Linked DNA regions of Saccharomyces cerevisiae S288C. Changing the gene in region 1 together with any one later gene gives a genetic interaction. Each region holds a gene or a part of one and is shown on either strand. Other genes may lie near its edges.

The links.
Region 2: of NCR1 (region 1) and BOR1, a mutation in one rescues a mutant of the other (synthetic rescue), as found in Saccharomyces cerevisiae (one study listed by BioGRID).
Region 3: mutations in NCR1 (region 1) and AGE1 together harm fitness more than expected from each alone (negative genetic interaction), as found in Saccharomyces cerevisiae (2 studies listed by BioGRID).

The regions. Positions count from the first base shown.
Region 1 is NC_001148.4:543,099-550,256, reverse strand, and holds NCR1 (sphingolipid transporter), read right to left. Parts: upstream 5,627-7,158; coding exon 2,114-5,626; downstream 1-2,113. Other genes in the region: AEP3 (Aep3p), read right to left, coding at 1-1,771; transcription factor TFIIIC subunit TFC8, read left to right, coding at 6,409-7,158. UniProt on the Saccharomyces cerevisiae protein: Involved in sphingolipid trafficking. May recycle sphingolipids between cellular membranous compartments.
Region 2 is NC_001146.8:116,445-122,196, reverse strand, and holds BOR1 (Bor1p), read right to left. Parts: upstream 2,930-5,752; coding exon 1,199-2,929; downstream 1-1,198. Other genes in the region: GOR1 (glyoxylate reductase), read left to right, coding at 27-1,079; MET2 (homoserine O-acetyltransferase), read right to left, coding at 3,388-4,848; YNL277W-A (uncharacterized protein), read right to left, coding at 5,330-5,518; CAF120 (Caf120p), read right to left, coding at 5,744-5,752. UniProt on the Saccharomyces cerevisiae protein: Functions in boric acid/borate export across the plasma membrane, and thereby protects yeast cells from boron toxicity. Involved in the trafficking of proteins to the vacuole.
Region 3 is NC_001136.10:1,486,403-1,491,594, reverse strand, and holds AGE1 (GTPase-activating protein AGE1), read left to right. Parts: upstream 1-2,604; coding exon 2,605-4,053; downstream 4,054-5,192. Other genes in the region: RBA50 (Rba50p), read right to left, coding at 1-501; SNA2 (Sna2p), read right to left, coding at 760-999; API2 (Api2p), read right to left, coding at 1,361-1,690; YDR524C-B (uncharacterized protein), read left to right, coding at 1,797-1,997; YDR524W-C (uncharacterized protein), read right to left, coding at 2,103-2,192; putative serine/threonine protein kinase SPS1, read left to right, coding at 4,557-5,192. UniProt on the Saccharomyces cerevisiae protein: GTPase-activating protein (GAP) for the ADP ribosylation factors ARF1 and ARF2. May be involved in the endocytic pathway.

The DNA.
Region 1 (7,158 bases):
CATCATTGTCTTTGATATACGCCATTCTTTTTTCCAAAGCAGCCTTTGTGGCTATTGCTTTAACCCGATTTCGATATTCTCTTTTTTTCTGGGAAATGTTTGAGGGTAGGTTTGTGGGCTTCTGATGATCTTGTGCTGTATTGGTGCAGCGTAAAGTAGTGGGGATACAACCCAAAAAACGTAGTATTTTTTTTTGTGAAGAATCACTTTCTTTCCAAATTTTCCAAGAGAACTCACCCTCGGAAGCAATCAGGTTGCCCAACAATTTTCTTGCTTTTTCAATTGACTTTTCTGATAGCGTATTAGGACTACCAAATTTGAAAATTGAGTCTGCTTTGGTTCTCCAATAACTTGTCCGCAATCCAAATCCTTCACTAACCTTTAAGTCTTTGATATACTGTAGGACTGCCCCAAAATTCTTGGTGTTGCCATTCCTAACTAACGCTTTAAATAACATTTCGAACGTCTGAGAATCAGGTTTAATTTTGTAAATCTTACGACAAGTATTATAGCAAAGGAATGCCAAATCACTTCTTCCCTTATTAGCAAATACCCGCATGAAATGATTCATTGCCTCCGAGTCCAACTTAAAATTACTTTTCAAGTGCTGAAAACCATAGTCAAGTAATTTAGATGCGGTTTCAAGTTGTTCCTCGTTTAGTAGTCGTTCTATGCACAGATAGAACGTCTTACGGGAAATCGGTAGTGAATTTGCTGCTAAAACTTTTAAACAGTCCTCTGCTCTATAATCTCCGTTCCTTAGCACAGTATAAACAAAATTTACGTTAAAATTTCCTAAATGTTCACCCATTTGAACAATGTACAATTGTCTCGAAACTTCATCACGAAGAAAGTTATAACATGTCGTCCAAGTTATTACATCTGCAAAAACTCCATGATTACGCATACTTCTAAGATAAAAAAGGACCTCATCGTCAGGGTGCTTCGTTTTTCTAATATGCGAGTTTTTCACTACATTACGCAGTAAAAGATTAAAAGTGATTGTATTTGGTTTAGTCCCCTCAGCCTTCATTTGTGCAAATATTTCTCTACAAGACGCAAAGTCGAAGTGCTCACTGAAAAAGTATATTGAGTCATTATAAACTTGAGCAGAACGCAACGGCAGAGTCGTCTTATTGGTTGGATGAAGTAGGTGCCGCAGCATCTTACGCACAATACCATTTAGTTTGGAAGATGAACGAAAATTGAACTTTGTATGACTTAGTATTCCAATATAATTTTCAAACAATTGAGGGTTCTTTGAAAAGTCAGGGAGAGGAGGGATCTCGTCATTACTAAACTTAAGAAACTTACGAGTGAAGCGTTCTGGCCCTGAATTCTTCTCATTCGATGTGCAATCTATCAGTAGCGTCAATAGTTCTCTAGTAAACTCTTGAGACTTTGCTGTAAGAAGTTTCTGGAATTTATTCGAGGAATTCGTTTGTTTAGAGAACATATACATTCGTTTTGCACGTTCCTCATCATAGTCATCCCTAATTTGTTTCCTAGAAAGCGTTAAAGTCGGCAGGCTTGAAAGGTATTCCTTAACTTGCTCCCTTTCATACTTCACACCATGCCGTACTATTTTTTTTGCCTCTCCATTAACTGACGTTGATGTTGGGCTATCTATTATTTTTTCATCAACTTTCTTGACATTTGCAATTGGTATACCCTCTCTGAACAGGCCTGGAAATATTACTTTCTGATATAGTTTTGGAGCTTCTCTCCCACTTTTGGATAGTGCTTGTGTCAAACACCTTAATGTATTCATAAATATACTAAATGGCTAAGGATGCCCAAGAGTGCCAGAAGATGCCAGAACAAAATCACCCCGAAGTAATCGGTTTTAGTTCTTTTGGCCTTTCCTCTTTTGAAGTTCTGTGTGCGAAAATGACGATTTTCGCCCGAAACCAATAATACTTTTATGACACTATTAAAGATTAAATATAGTAGAAGTATCTAACTTCAATGCACGATAACAACGAAGCCTGTGTTAGTGTTATCATTTCTGACTCGAAAAATTTTCCCACAGATTTTCTGGTGTGGCATCAGAATAATTAACGAATTTTTACCTATTTTTTCACTACGTAAAATATAGTATAATCTGCTATGGCTAATCTTCTGCTTCGATGGAATCGTCCCTATAGCTTTCACCACCAAACAATGAAAGTAAAGCAGGTAAAAATAGGAGAGCATGCAATGCTGCTACAATGATTAGTGTAAACCACATTCTAAAGTAAAATACATCAAATATTTTCGATTGGGCGAATGCAAGTACACAAACTCCAATGAATTTGGTTAGAGTTATACCTTTGATGACGGACTCACCTATGGTATTCAAGGAATAGAGAACTCTTGAGTTTGCGTCTTTCTTGGTTTCACTGGGGACCACTGTAAATGATCTAACAATATGAACACAAAACTCGACACCCAAACCGACACAAATAATTAAATTGACTAAACTGACAGCGTTGAGTGAGATACCTAGTAGGGCCATCAAAGCACCAATATCTACGATAATCATGGTAACGACCAAAGCCAGTAAGAATGAGCTGCGTATATTCTGCAAGAAAACAGATGAAATGAAAAAAATTAGGATAATGGCACTCCCTATTAGCTTCAACGTCAATGGTCCCAAAGTTTGATATTGAACAAAAAAAATGTAAAACGGCGAGTATGCAAACATATCTAGTTCGGGGAAAGAACTTGATATCCTAACTCCATCACTATACGCCTGGATAAAGTCCTTTTGGGATCTCAAAGGATGATGAGCTGTTCTGAAAACTGACGCAGACACACTCGTTTCATTATAAACTAACGCAGTCGAATATGGCGCACGACCACCTAGAGGGCAGGGGTCACTAGGCGCATTAATCCATATGCTTAGGTATTCCATGAAGTCCTTGCCCTCAGGAAACCCTGACATGTTGTAATTCCAAGAACCCTGCTGGAAACAAGTTTCACAACGTCTACTTGGAAAAGAGGGAGGACAAACCTCATCTGTTCCCTTCTTTAATCTACAACACTGGTCGTTTTGAGGATTTAAAAACATGAAATAATCGTCCAGCCAATTAGCCAATGGCTCCGTAATTGTTGACCTGTGTCTTTCTTGCTCCAGTACATTAGCTAATGAGTCTCTTTCGCAAGTTGTAAATTTACCACATATTTTCTGTTGGTTTTGTCTTTTAGTCAAATCTAAATTCTTCACGACCATGTAAACCGGTGGTCCTACGTTTAGGAAGCTATAAACATCCTTAAAATAGTCAACCAGGTAGGAATCCTGTGGAACAGCCAATGTTTGATCTAGCCCAAATTGAATTTCTGGTAAGAAAACCAGAGATGTGAAAAACCAAGCCGAGAAGATAATGATTATGAGCCTCTTTTGCGTTAACATCTTAAAATAAAACGTTTTCAAAAATGATTCCTTAGTTTCTTCATTTCCGGTAATTTGTTTATAATTGGATCTCTTTTCGTAGAGAGACAAAATGGACACATACGCTGTTAGCTGTAATACTCCGTTGAATATAACAGAAACTGTGGAATATATAGCAAAATTATGGACAGCTGGCATTGTAACAAATGCAGCTATCAAGAAGCATCCGGTTTGACATAGCAATGACATTAAAATGGAAGGAGACATTCTCCCGATAGCGCTTATTATTTTTTGATCAATTGAATACTCCGGTTTTTGCTCGCAATTTCTATCATACTCATGTGTAATCAAGAAAATATTATCTATTCCTATTGCTAAAATTAGAAACGGTATTACTTCTGCTATGATCAATGTCGACTTCAAACCAAAAAGAGTTAAAAATCCGGCTGCACAAACAATAGAAGCCAAAACTATGAGTAAACCAGATATTCCAAGTAACAACCTAGTTTTCCCATCCTTTCTCCTCAAGGCCCATGTAGCATATAAAAACATCATCAGGTATGATATTGCAACGGTCGAGATATCATTATTATTATTAAGCTCTTTTTCCAAGGATATTTCGGTATTAAAACTGATCCTCAGGCCCTCGGGGACCTTTAAATCCAATAAATACTCTTCCAATCTTTCTTCCCAGCGATTAGCTGATTGAGTGTGGTTGGTCAATAGAAGTGTTACAACAAACGCATGCGCATTGAGAATATCATCGTCACTGAAAAGAAGATTAGTTTTTAGAGGTTGCTGGAAAGTAGGTAGACAGTTTACAGGAAATTTCCCACATTCCTGCAGTTCCCTTTTCCAGCTATCCTTGTTTGGTAAGGCCCCCTGAAAATACTGAGTAAAAGACTCTATTACGCATGTAGAATCTTCTGTTGGTCTGAAGCAGAGATCTTGGTATCCAATATTTTCTGACGATTGTAGCTCTTCCGTAATAAAATTTTCAACGTCAAACCACCAGTGAAGTGTCTCATATGATAACACAGGGCCTGTCTCATTCACAACAAATATTTGCTCTGTCCTGTAAAATGGCCCAAAATTATCATCGAAGTACTCTTTTTCTTTGAATTTTTCAGAATTTTTACTCACCCACAAATTAATTGGATCTGTTTCAAGAGTAGCGTACTGAAATATGATGAAACTGAATACAAAGATACTAAAAACAGTGGTTATTAATATCTTGTAGGGGTTTTCAACGGAAAATTGTCCCACTTTCGTAAATAGGTTAGCGAGTTTACCATTAAAAAAGTTAGTTTCATTATTGAAACTTTCGAATACATTCGTCTCTGATTCATCTAAGGAACCTGATTCTGGAACAATATCGTCGTCCACAATCATTGCCCCGTTTTTTTTTCTTTTACAGAGATAATACCACATAAATGCAAAAAGTGCACAGATTGTGTAAAAGATCAGAACAGAAAGGGAAAAACATGGCAGAGGGCCAACTTTACACACGCCATCTTTTAAAGGTTTTAAATGGGGGCAAGACTCTTGACAATCAGAACACGCACATTTATATTGAGCATCATCGCAAGCATAAACCTCATCATTAAATTCCTGCCATTCTTTTTCTTCATTTGCTAAATCATACTTGTAATTAATCTGAAAGGGGGATCCACCAAGCATAGGTTTAGCATCCCCCAAAAACTTCAAGAATTGACTGTAATTTTTAGCACCACCTCCGATTAGGTCCATCGCATAACCGTTGGTAGCAGAAAATTTAATATTCTTACATGAGTCATAAAATTCAGATGCCCAAGACGAATTCATGAAAACGTCTAATTCCGCAACAATATCTTTATCTTCTTTTGACTTTTCTACCTTGGTAATATTGACAAACCTTCCTTGGTCAGCAGCGCAAGTGAAGTGACAGAACAGGTTATTAAAATTCTTGAGGCATGCTGGGCATGAGGAAATTAAAGGTTGAGCCTTTTGTAGGTTATCTCTCAGTGCTACCACTTGATCTTTAGTACAGCAGGCATAACGGACCTCTTTCCACTCTTCACCACAAACTTCAACCAAAAGTTTGCTTGTTTCATCTGAAAGAACAGGAGGTTCAAAACTACGTGGCACAGGGCAAGGTAATTCGTTTCCAAATACTGACTTTTTCCCACAGTTCCCATACATGGCACAGGTAGCTGTTCCCTGAACGAGCCGCATCAGCTGGCCAACTAGTGCTATAATCCATAGCACATTCATGGTTTTACTAATTGAAGTTCTGCTCTTGTTCTTTTTGGAGATGAATTTAGTTATCTTCTACACAAGAACGTTGTTATACTGGTTGTTGATGTTCCTCTCGTTTGGCACTCCCGCTATATAAACGCTAAGGGGGTCACCCGAGAAGTTCAAGGCTCTTTATCAGAATATCGCAAATAATCTTTAGTACTGTAGGTAATGGGCTAGCGCCATCCAGAAGTCTAGTTTAATTGCCAAAAAGTGGCGCTCTTGATGTTAGTGATGGGAAGAGAATATCTTGACTACTCTATCGTTCGGTAATAGTTAATTACTGGGATGCGCTTAAATGATTATACAAGTTATTTATGTCGACGACTGCCTGTAGAAAAACAATGTAGCGAATACCTGCATAGCAGTTCAATAATAGGAGAGAATCATTGCGTATATATTACGAAATACCACAACTGCAACACATTTATGTAAGATTAAATTGTTGCTTACATCTGTTGTGACATTAGCCACGGTATGCAATTAGCTGAATGATTTATTTCAATAAAAAAGGAAATAGACCTTCCCAAAGATAATCCAACTTCCCAGCATTTGCTTTTGAAGTTTTGCTTCGTATTGGAAGGCTTTAAATGGCGTATTTCTTCCGTCATTTCGCACCTTAAGTGTATTCTGTTTCTTACGCGCAACGCACTTTTCTCAATAATGAGATCTAAACAATGATTAGACAGAATTATATATAATGAAAAAAGCAGCATGACTAACTTTGTTAGGAGTTAGGAAAGCCAATTCAATTCATAATGAAGCTTCTAAAGGACTTATTGGTAGATAGAAAGGAATTTGAGGATTGGAAGAACAATTTAACATGGGCTCGGGATGGTACTCTATATTTGACCACATTTCCTGATATTAGCATTGGGCAGCCAAAATATGCTAAAGACATTAATTGCAACAGTAAGAATTTATTTCATGTGAAAGAATTCCCGCTAGAATTTGAAAATAAACTGGATTTCGAGCTGGCGCAACAGAATGGGTTATTAAATTCACAACCTGTTTGTTATCCCAGAGTCTGTAAGCCATCACCAATAGACGATTGGATGGCCGTATTGAGCAATAATGGTAATGTTTCTGTGTTCAAAGATAACAAAATGCTCACAAATCTCGATTCAAAAGGAAACTTAAGTAGCAGAACCTACCATTGTTTTGAATGGAATCCTATTGAATCATCAATCGTGGTTGGTAATGAAGACGGTGAGCTTCAATTCTTTAGCATTCGCAAAAATTCAGAAAATACTCCAGAATTTTATTTTGAGAGTAGTATTAGATTAAGTGACGCAGGCTCAAAAGACTGGGTCACTCATATAGTATGGTACGAAGACGTTCTTGTAGCGGCGCTTTCAAACAATTCTGTATTTTCAATGACAGTTTCTGCTTCCTCTCATCAACCCGTTTCTAGAATGATACAAAATGCTTCGAGAAGAAAAATTACTGATTTAAAGATAGTGGATTATAAGGTGGTTTTAACTTGTCCCGGATATGTGCATAAGATA
Region 2 (5,752 bases), on another chromosome or scaffold:
AACGAGCAAGAAGAGGAGAAGAGAATATGAGTAAGAAACCAATTGTTTTGAAATTAGGAAAGGATGCCTTTGGTGACCAAGCCTGGGGGGAATTGGAAAAGATTGCGGATGTAATTACCATCCCTGAATCCACCACTAGAGAACAGTTTTTGCGGGAGGTAAAAGACCCACAAAATAAGCTCTCCCAAGTACAAGTCATTACTAGAACAGCAAGGAGTGTGAAAAACACCGGTAGATTTGATGAAGAGCTTGCTCTTGCTTTGCCCTCCTCCGTAGTGGCTGTATGTCATACTGGTGCTGGTTATGACCAAATTGATGTTGAGCCATTCAAGAAAAGGCACATCCAGGTTGCCAATGTTCCTGATTTAGTTAGCAATGCTACCGCTGATACGCATGTATTTTTGCTATTGGGTGCCCTAAGAAACTTCGGTATTGGTAACAGAAGGTTGATCGAGGGAAACTGGCCGGAGGCAGGACCCGCATGTGGTTCTCCCTTTGGATACGACCCTGAAGGGAAAACAGTTGGTATACTGGGTCTAGGTAGGATTGGTCGTTGTATTTTAGAGAGATTGAAGCCGTTTGGGTTCGAGAATTTCATATATCATAACAGACACCAGCTTCCTTCCGAAGAAGAGCATGGTTGTGAATATGTAGGATTCGAGGAGTTTTTGAAGCGTTCTGATATAGTATCTGTAAACGTCCCACTGAACCACAATACTCACCATCTAATCAATGCAGAGACTATTGAAAAAATGAAAGATGGTGTAGTTATTGTTAACACAGCGCGTGGTGCCGTGATAGACGAACAAGCCATGACTGATGCTTTGCGTTCTGGAAAGATTAGAAGTGCTGGTTTGGACGTTTTCGAATATGAGCCAAAAATATCCAAAGAGTTATTATCGATGTCCCAAGTCTTAGGACTGCCTCATATGGGCACACATAGTGTAGAAACAAGAAAGAAAATGGAAGAACTGGTCGTTGAAAATGCAAAGAATGTGATATTGACCGGGAAAGTCTTGACTATTGTTCCGGAATTACAAAATGAAGACTGGCCCAATGAATCTAAGCCATTAGTTTGACTACAAGATCCATAGTTTTATTCTTCCTTTCGAAATGCGATAATATTATTATACTTCTTATATATGCAATTAATTTCTATATATTACAAGTGGTTGACTTTTGTACATCCTAACTGCGTTTAGTCTTCATGCTTATCACAGAACTTTGCATCACGAATATTTTCCAATAACAAATTTTTAATGGTAAATTTTTGTGCCACATTAGTATCGAGAATCTTTAATTCTTCAGTCGGGAAAATATAAGCAAACGAGAAAGAAACTAACACACTTAAAAGCAATACTAAGGGAAAGCCGATGGCCGCTATAGTATTTGTGATAGCAAATTCACCAGCAAACCCCGTCAGGCTAAAGGAAAGAAATATCAGCATTGACTTCTTGGATACTTTCATTAAAGGTGAAGTATTATCTCTTCTGTTAGGGTCTGAAAACAGGAAAACCAACCGTTGTATAATACTATTTGTCATTAGGCCATTGATGCCCATAATGAAAAACAATCCGGAAAGTACTGCCTGAGGGATTTCTCCTAAGCATACCAATAACGGTCTTGTCATTGTCCCTAGAATCATCAGGCCCTGAAACGTATTTGTAAATCTTTGCTCTACGCAACTGATAACCTTTTGGTTTGAATCCCTAACTAGCAGTGTCTCTGTGTGCAATGGTGCTTGAGGAATCAAACCATTGGGCGCCGGGATTCCTAGAACCCCGCTGATGCAAGTGGTAAGTCCCAATAGTGCGAAATCGTAATGAAAAGAGGATGGTTTTTTCAGCTTATACTGATGCCTTTGTGCCATTAGCGACGATACGTTATGATCAAAGTAAAACAAGATTGTTAAAAATATACCAAATGGTAGGGCAATAAAGACGTCTTTAACAGGAATCGGTTCATATGCCAGCCAAGTATTTTGAGGCCTATTGACTTTGGAAGTAGGAAAAAAAGCTTTCGTAATAGGCAATTTTTTAAATTTGACATCATGCAAGTAGCCACCAAAATGTGTAAATGATGACCAGAATAGCACTGAAAGCGCAGTTGAATAATCAGATATGAATGTTCTGATCCTATGAGAAAAGAGGGGGTAATAATGAAATAATTTAAAGAAAAGACCAAACGCAGTCATAACCAGCGCCACCACGACACTAGCAAATCCGTCTTGTACTGATTTCTCCCCTGATTTAGCACTGAACTGTCTTGTTAAAATTTGTATTCCTTTTTGAATGTAGACCACATTAATAAATAATCCAAATATGTCACATGGGAACGTAGTCACGTATTGCAAGAGGCAAACGGCGTTCGTAAATGCTAAAACTAAATGAAAAATCATAGACCACATACAAATCCAAAACATGAAGCCAAAATAGCTGGTATTCAAAGGCTTTATAATTTCGTAGACCGTATAATTAAAAATAGAGATGGGGCCAGTAACACCCACTATACATAAGGGCTGTCCACCAAGAACTCCAAAAACAATTCCAGCCATTGCACTGGATAGAAGTACTTCGTTCACACCATAGGAATTATCAGTCCTATCAAACATATCTTGCGCAAAGGCTATTGCAGGTAGCAGGTTATTAAAGTAGGTGTCAACAATAGAGGGAATAACTCTGTAATTAAACGCATCTACCCAATCTGACTTGTAATACGGTATTCTGTCCTTCAAATCGAGCCATATGCCTATACCTAGCGTCGGGAATCGACGTCGGGATAACTTCTCGTGGCTCTCTTCATCACTTCTACTTTCTGATACCGATGATTCTCTGTCTAGCTCATCGTTTGTCCGTTCCAATGCTTGCGCACACTCGTCGGAGGCTGTACAACCGCGACTAACGGTAACTCGTGTGCTCTCATTCGACATGCCTTGCCAGCGCTATTACTACTTTTTGGATGATAAAGGATATGAGTATGATTATTGCGATATGCTTACTTTTACGCCACGAGTGATCTAAAAATTACTTCAGTGATGTATTTTCCCCGCTAAACGAAAAAAGTTTGAAGTAAGCTAAGGCTACAGGGAGAAGAACAGTTGTTCATGTAATGTCGAGTGGCAACGCAAGAGTGGCTGTCTACAAGTGCGGTCAAAATGTGGAAAGCTCTAAAGCACTAGCTATTACTCTTCTGTTTTTTTTTTTTTTTTTCATTCTTCTTTCGTTTTTTAACAACGAGGACAAAAAAGAGAAATCTACTACTACCGTTAGTGTTACTAGAAACTTTGTTATAGTTAATTAATGCTGTTTGTCTATATATAAATATAGATATAGATATACATGTACTGGTTTATCTATGTTATGCCTGAGGTATGTGTGGTATCTATCCCTACCAGTTGGTAACTTCTTCGGCCTCACCAAAGACAGACGTCTTCGTTTCATCGTTACCAACGTCACCTCCCCAAGCTCTTGGAGCGGCATCGGTAATGGCCTTGCAGTTGGTTTTTAAAAATTGTACTATCAGTTTGTTTATCAGCTTAAACTCCAATAGGAAGGCATCGTGGCCTTCGGGAGATTCAATTTTTTCTAATTGCGACTTCGGTATGTGCTCAGCCAAAAATTCTTGTTCTGAATATGTGAACAGTCCATCAGATTGGATACCGATGATCAGGGATGGTTGTTGGATGGTAGAAAGGACCTCAGTGATGTCATCTACTCTGTCTCTTGCCAAATCGTGCGTATCCAGTTTACGTGTGATGGCAATGTAACAATTGGCGTCGAACCTATTGATGAACTTTGTGCCCTGGTACCTCAAGTAACTTTGTGCAGAAAAATACGTCTGCGCAGGCTTTATGTCCTTCACTTCACCCGTTACAGAACTTACCGAAGTCATCGATGTTGAAGAATTCAATGAATCCGAAGAAGATGCGGTGGACACCACGCTTTGACCTTTTTGCCCAGAAATGCCAGCGATGGCAGTGCTGGCTTTTGTTTTATACCCATCATTGTGGATTTGTAGGGAGTGTTCGCTGACAGTAGATGGTTTGCGTGTCTCCTCCCTTTGAGCTTTTTGTTGTTGTGCTATTGAAGGAGATCTTCTGGAGAATTTGTTCTCGAAACTGTTTCTTGTCCTGTACGTCAACAATGCAGACATACGTGCAGCCGATAGTCCGGCCACAGGTTGCTCCTCTACCGGATAGTACCCGTCCAAGTAGTTGGGATCTGAGTAAATCGATTGTCTTTGAGCCTCAGACCACGATATGCACCAGGCAGAATGTCTTGCTGATGTCGCCAGAGCAACCATATTCTTCACATATTCCTTACCATACATGGCAGCCCATTCCAAACTCAGCATCCCCCCCATAGAGCCACCAATAACACAGGCTATTGACTTTACTCCCAGAGAATCCAGAACAATTCTGTGAGCTCTAACGTCATCGCGCACAGTACATAATGGGAATTCGGGTCCATATCTAACGCCCGTCTCCTCATTTATCGTTAATGGCGAAAAAGACCCATATGGAGAGCCCATAGAGTTTAAACATATGATAAAAAACCTTGATGGGTCGAATGCTAAGTCGTTACCCAGAAGAGGGCCCCACCAGTCAGCAACATCTGCGGACCCAGTCAAGGCATGACAAATTACCAGAACATTATCACCAGCTTCATTCAGTGTACCCCACGTCTTATAAGCAATAGGGAAATTATTTATGACCACGCCAGACTCAAGCACTAGTTCCGGAACTTGAACAATCCTCTGCCCTTGAACTAGTTTGAGCAATGGGTTAGTTTCCTTAATCTCCTCAATGTCCAGCTCTTGGAGCGTTTTCGATTTTAAAGTATGCGACATTCCTTTTATACTACGTTTTTTTCTTTCTTTTCTATTATTCCAAATAAAGAGAAACTTTAGACGGACCCTGTGACTAAAAAAATTATCGAAGACTTGACTGTTCTAGAGTTACTTTTGTTTATTAAAAGCAAGAAATATCCGTGAACAAGATAGCAGGTAGGTTGTACAACGAAGCGGAAGCTCATCTATTGGACGCAGCTGTATTTTGAATATATATATATATGTAATGTGTATATTTGTGGGTGTGTGCCAAATCCAAACGATTAACATGACTTAGTTTACTATCAAATGAGTGCATCCACAATTTTTTGCAGGCAATGTGTGGCGCCTTCCGCAGTGAGGCGCATCACGTGAAAATACGTCAATGTGGGGAGCCACTAACAATAGCAAGAAATAAGTACAAGTAATAGCATAACCTTGACAAACTGAACTAATGTAAGCGTTTTTCATGACTAGTGCTTTGAAGTACAATTTATACTGCTCAGAGGCTCATTCGATTGTGTGTTTTTAGCAACTTTATGAAGAGAGTGAAAAGAAATATCACGTGATTATTAGTAGTCTGCGATTTTTTTTTTTTCAGTTTTTTTTTTCCCACTAATACTGGCAGAGAGCGTAAAGGGGGCAATATATGGCACATCTTTACTGGCTGTCCATAATAGGCAAGTGTCATGTGCCCTAACAGAAAAAAAGTTAAAAATTGCCCGGAGAAAATACAAGAATCTGTCTAAATGTATATTTACGGATGAGACACTACTTATATAGTTTAGTTATTATCATGAAGTATTATTACAATCGTGCCCAGAAAGTGAGATGAAAAACTGGGATACGGAAGCCTGGCGCTTGTTTCTTTTCTTAATTGTCTCTCTTTTTGTAAAATTACAACCAGTCGGTCGAGTTACTGGGC
Region 3 (5,192 bases), on another chromosome or scaffold:
TTCTAAGGCAACGTCTACATCTTCATCGTCTAACGGTGGTAGATCGTATATGCCTTGCTTGTTGCCACCTACCCAGGTACCAGAAGCGCCTTCTATTTCTGCAAATAATGGAGTGTTGTTTTCGTCCTTCGCTCTTTTATTTATGTTTTTCAATAGCTTGGCAATCAGTTTGGGATCTAAAGAGTTATACAGATCCTCACGTTCTTGCACGATTTGTTCATCACTCATTCCCTGCAGAACTTTAATATTTTCATTATGGATAGATTTTGCCTCGGATAGTGGGGCGTCTGTACTCGTTTGTTGCTTTTCAGCATCCTTGCCACTAGTTTTTTTCTTTTGGGCTCTTTTTTCTCTTAGTCTTTCCTTCCAAGATGATATTTTCTTGGGTTTGTACAACTCGGGAAATCCCGTTCCACAGTTGTTGGTACTAAGAGTGCCATTGTCATTACTTTCAACAGAGTCAGATGTATCTTTCTCCACTATATCGCCCAGTAAGTCCATTACGATGGTGGCAGAGTGATTTATCTTCTTTGAATGAGGGAAAATGAATATATTAAACTATAGATTTACTTAGCCGACAGCGATGAGATGGCTTGCCATTACATTATTATTCATTTCAGGTACATAGAAGTACCGAAAAATGAAAAAGAAAAAATAAAATAGAAAAAAAAGAAAGAAATGAAAAAAAAAGGGTAGCAAAAGAGCCACACATCACTTATTACGAAATTCTGCGGAGGAGGATAACGTAGAAAGAGTCACTCATGCTAAACTACCATAGTTATCATCCGAGGAGGAGAGGTGTGAGTACCGGGCCTCGTTCTCCTCATATGGATGACAGCTGATCACGTACAAAGCATGGATCAGACCAGGGAAAAACCCTAGTAAAAATAACAGAAAGTTAATGAGCAGATCCTTGGTAAAAAAACCTCTTTTTAGCCAGACTGCTAAGGGAGGAATGAAAATTGCAATAAAAACTAAAAACCAGTCGCGGGCGTGCATAGTGTAATTCTAAAGTTGTATGTTCTCTAATACGATGACTGGTACTTGCAAAATGCTTATTCGAGGACTAACTAAGATCGATCAGTAAAGATCTCTTGTCAATCAAACCTTTCTCGCACAATAGGAGACAGGAAAAGGGGAAAGAAAGTCGAAAAAGTGCGGGTTCCGGTACATGGATTATATCGCCCCGGGACAATGCGCGTTGCCCCTCACCGGCCCGGAATATACGCGTGGTTGCGCTCTTTCGTTACCCGCGACTGTTTTGGCGCCCCATTCATGCTACGCGGATCTGGACCTGCTTATTTCCCGAGAATACGTCCCGAAAAAGTAATGCAGTTTCCGAAATGGGCGCGGTAAGGGCCTAGGCCCAACGTTGGGCCTTTTTCAGTTCCAAAAAAACGACTCGTTGGGAGCCGTGCGGTCCCGTCTTCGGGCGTGATTGGCCGCTTTGGCCGCTTCTGGGCGTAGGACGCCAAAGTTTATTTCCAAAATAGCGAAGACCAGAGCCACGCCTTTTCTTTTTGCAAGCGGAATATCCGCTTGAGAAATGAGAAAAAGAAAGCAGAAAAAAAATCATCGCTTTTTTCACGTTTGTTACATGAGATATGGTGCTGTGTGTCATCGCGGTGGTTTTCCTGGCTTTTCTCCTCATATATAAGGAACTCGAGAAATTCTTGATTTTCTTTTCCATCTTCTCCTACTGTATTATTTACTTTATTAGTTAATATTGTTTTTGATTTTAGAGGAAAATCATCATTAAACATAAGTTTCAATCAACACTAATCATCAACAAAACAATGCAATTCAAGACCATCGTCGCTGCCTTCGCTACTGTTGCCGCTGTCCAAGCTGCTAACGTTTCTACCAATGGTTCCAACCGTACCAACGGTTCCAACACCACCAGCACCAAGATCTCCACTGGTGCTGCTGCTTCCAACGCTTTGGGTGCTGGTGTCTTCGGTGCTGCCGTCGCTGCCGGTGTCGCTTTCTTATTCTAAGTTCTTTAATTTTGAGTTTAGAGACATTATACTCCTATAATATCGAAAAAATTTTTTTATTATCGCTACACAATCAAGTTTTTATGTGCTTTTTTAATAATATTATTATAGAACAAGAAGAAAGACCGCTCTTTCCTTGAAGGGACCAAAGAAGGAAAAAAAATATGTTGGAAGGGTTTTATATGATCTTTTCATGTTCGTTCACTTGTAATGGAATATTAGTTAGAAGATGTAAATAACTTATCTGTTTATTTTTATTTCCTCTCTATAATTATTACCTGTATTAATTCATTATCTAATATAAAATCTAATCTAATAATAGAATTTTCTGATGTTTATCTTTTTTTTTGTCGTATTCTCGGCGAATTAATCGCGGAAAATTTCATATCGAATTTTAAAGGAATGTCATTTTGAACGCTAAAGTATTATTTATTCTCGTCCGATGTTGGTTTTTTTTCCTATCGCTGTCGTTATAATAGTACTTGACGAAGAGAGAAGAAAAGTAAAAATTTGAGCGAAAAAGAGGATAAAAATCACATTGAGGCAGAGTGGTTAAGGTAGCTGTACCAGTCATTTTGAATACATTTTTCTGGATGTTCCATCAATAATGGATTTTTATACTACTGATATCAACAAAAATGTTGTGCCTTTGTTCAGTAAAGGAACAGTAGCAAGAACAGCATCAAAAGCACAGTATCCATCATGGTGCAACAACGCGTTAAAGTTAACTAATATTCTTCTTAAATCTCTTCGATGTAAATTTCAAACGAACCGCTGCGAGGATGATCGAGGTTTTGAGGTATATTGTGTTATTTTAAAAAGCATCGCTTTATTAATGGCCGCGAAAGAATCATTGATATTACTACAAATACCTCCTTCTTTACCATCAGGATTTCCATTTCGTTCACCCCAACTGTCATTTACATATTTATCAACCCGTCTTAGTGGGAGCCAACACAAATCTACGCATTCTCATCACATCAATCATCAAACTCATCCCATTCATAGTAGCAGTAGCAACAGTAATAGTAATAACCGTATTCCTACAAAAACAGATTCCTCCAAACAGCATACACAGCATTTCTCTTTTGCTAATGCGGGAGCCTCCAATAGAGACGAACTGCTATCAATCGTGCGCAAAATTGATAAATCTAATTTGAAGTGTTGTGACTGCGGTAGCACCGCAACAGTAGAATGGGTGTCAATCAATTTATTGTGTATATTGTGTATCAAATGTTCGGGCGTTCATCGATCTCTGGGTTCACATATCTCCAAAATTAGATCTTTAACGCTGGATAATTTCACCTCGTTAGAGTTGATGCATCTTTTACAAAATAATGTTTCCAATAGTAATGTTAATGCCATTTATGAAAGCAATCTCAGGAACTTTCCAGTTAAAAAAATAACTGCAAATTCTGATGACTCGGAAAGATCCAAATTCATTATTGATAAGTATCAATTTAAAAAGTTTGTTATCGACAGCAACCAAGGCAGAGAGGCTTCTTTGAAGTCTTTAATTAAAGCTATCCATTTAGATAGTGTTTTCATGATGCAAAGAGCCATCGCCCAAAGTAAATATTCCCTAAGAGAATTGACGGCAAGCGAAAAAGAGCAGAATGATCTAAACCATTCTTCCATTTTTCAATATTCCCTAAAGCACTATGAAATTGTTGATGGAACGCCCATTTTTTTTATTACAGAATTTTTATTGTGCAATGGTATTCATATAGATAATTTACCGAAGATTACTACGAATTGGTCTCCAAAGGTTTTAGAATATTGGGAAACTAAGTTGGAGATGTACGGAACATTCCAAGCTGTAAATACTTCTCGTCCAAGATCAGGGCCGCATTTAAATATGCATTCAAATGTAGATTCAGCTTCGTCCTACAATAAGAAACACGATTTGAGAGTTAACATACCTGAAAGAAGTGCCTCAGCAAGTAAAAGGTGGAGTTTGAGCTCCATTCCTAAGTCTTCTCAAAATTTGATGTCCCCAACAAACTTATTAACAATGCATAAGTCTTTAAAATTGGCCAAAAAGGACAAAAAATAACATATATGATAATTTAACTGTATTTTTTTCCCTTTTCTAATACTTTTTCCTCAAGTTATATTTCGGAGCTGTCCCAGGTTCGGAACAATGCGGCATCAGGGATAAAAAAAAATGACACATAAAAACGAAAAAGACACAAATTCCATTTTTTTTTTTTGACGCGAAAGAATGACACTACTTTCTTCTATTGTAACCATTTCTAACATCGATATTTTACTTGTTAGTTCAGATATATACTAAAGAGTCACTTAATATACTGTTTTTGTTTATTATCTTGGTTCCAACTGCTTCATTTAATATTTCCTATCCAAAAAAAGCCAGCTAATTCTCTTCTTTTTTTTTCTTATTTTGCCATTTTCAATATTATCGATTTAGTGAACACCTGGCTAGTCAGTTGTCTTAGCAAACATTTCTCAAAAGAAAGCAAACCAGCATTTGCTTTTTAAATTTAGTTTTTTTACTAGCTAATTCATTTACTAAACAACAAAAGAAAATAGCACAAAATGGAAAGCAAAGAAATATCAATTAGGTCAAGAACCCCTCCATCGAAGCTATATTCCATCCAATCATGTATTGGCAGAGGTAACTTTGGTGATGTGTATAAAGCAGTGGATAGAGTTACGCAAGAAATTGTGGCAATTAAGGTGGTCAACCTGGAGCATTCCGACGAAGACATTGAACTGTTAGCACAGGAAATTTTTTTTCTGGCGGAATTGAAATCTCCTCTTATTACAAACTATATTGCAACAATGTTAGAAGATGTCTCTATGTGGATTGTCATGGAATATTGCGGCGGTGGATCATGTTCAGATTTACTGAAGCGAAGTTACGTCAACGGTTTGCCTGAAGAAAAAGTTTCCTTCATTATTCATGAAGTCACCTTGGGTTTGAAATACCTGCATGAGCAAAGGAAAATTCATCGTGATATCAAAGCAGCTAATATTTTACTAAATGAAGAAGGTATGGTTAAGTTGGGTGATTTCGGAGTAAGTGGCCACATTCGTTCCACTTTGAAAAGGGACACTTTTGTAGGAACGCCGTATTGGATGGCTCCGGAAGTTGTTTGCTGCGAAGTTGATGGGTATAATGAGAAAGCAGATATATGGTCCTTGGGTATCACCACCTATGAGTTACTCAAG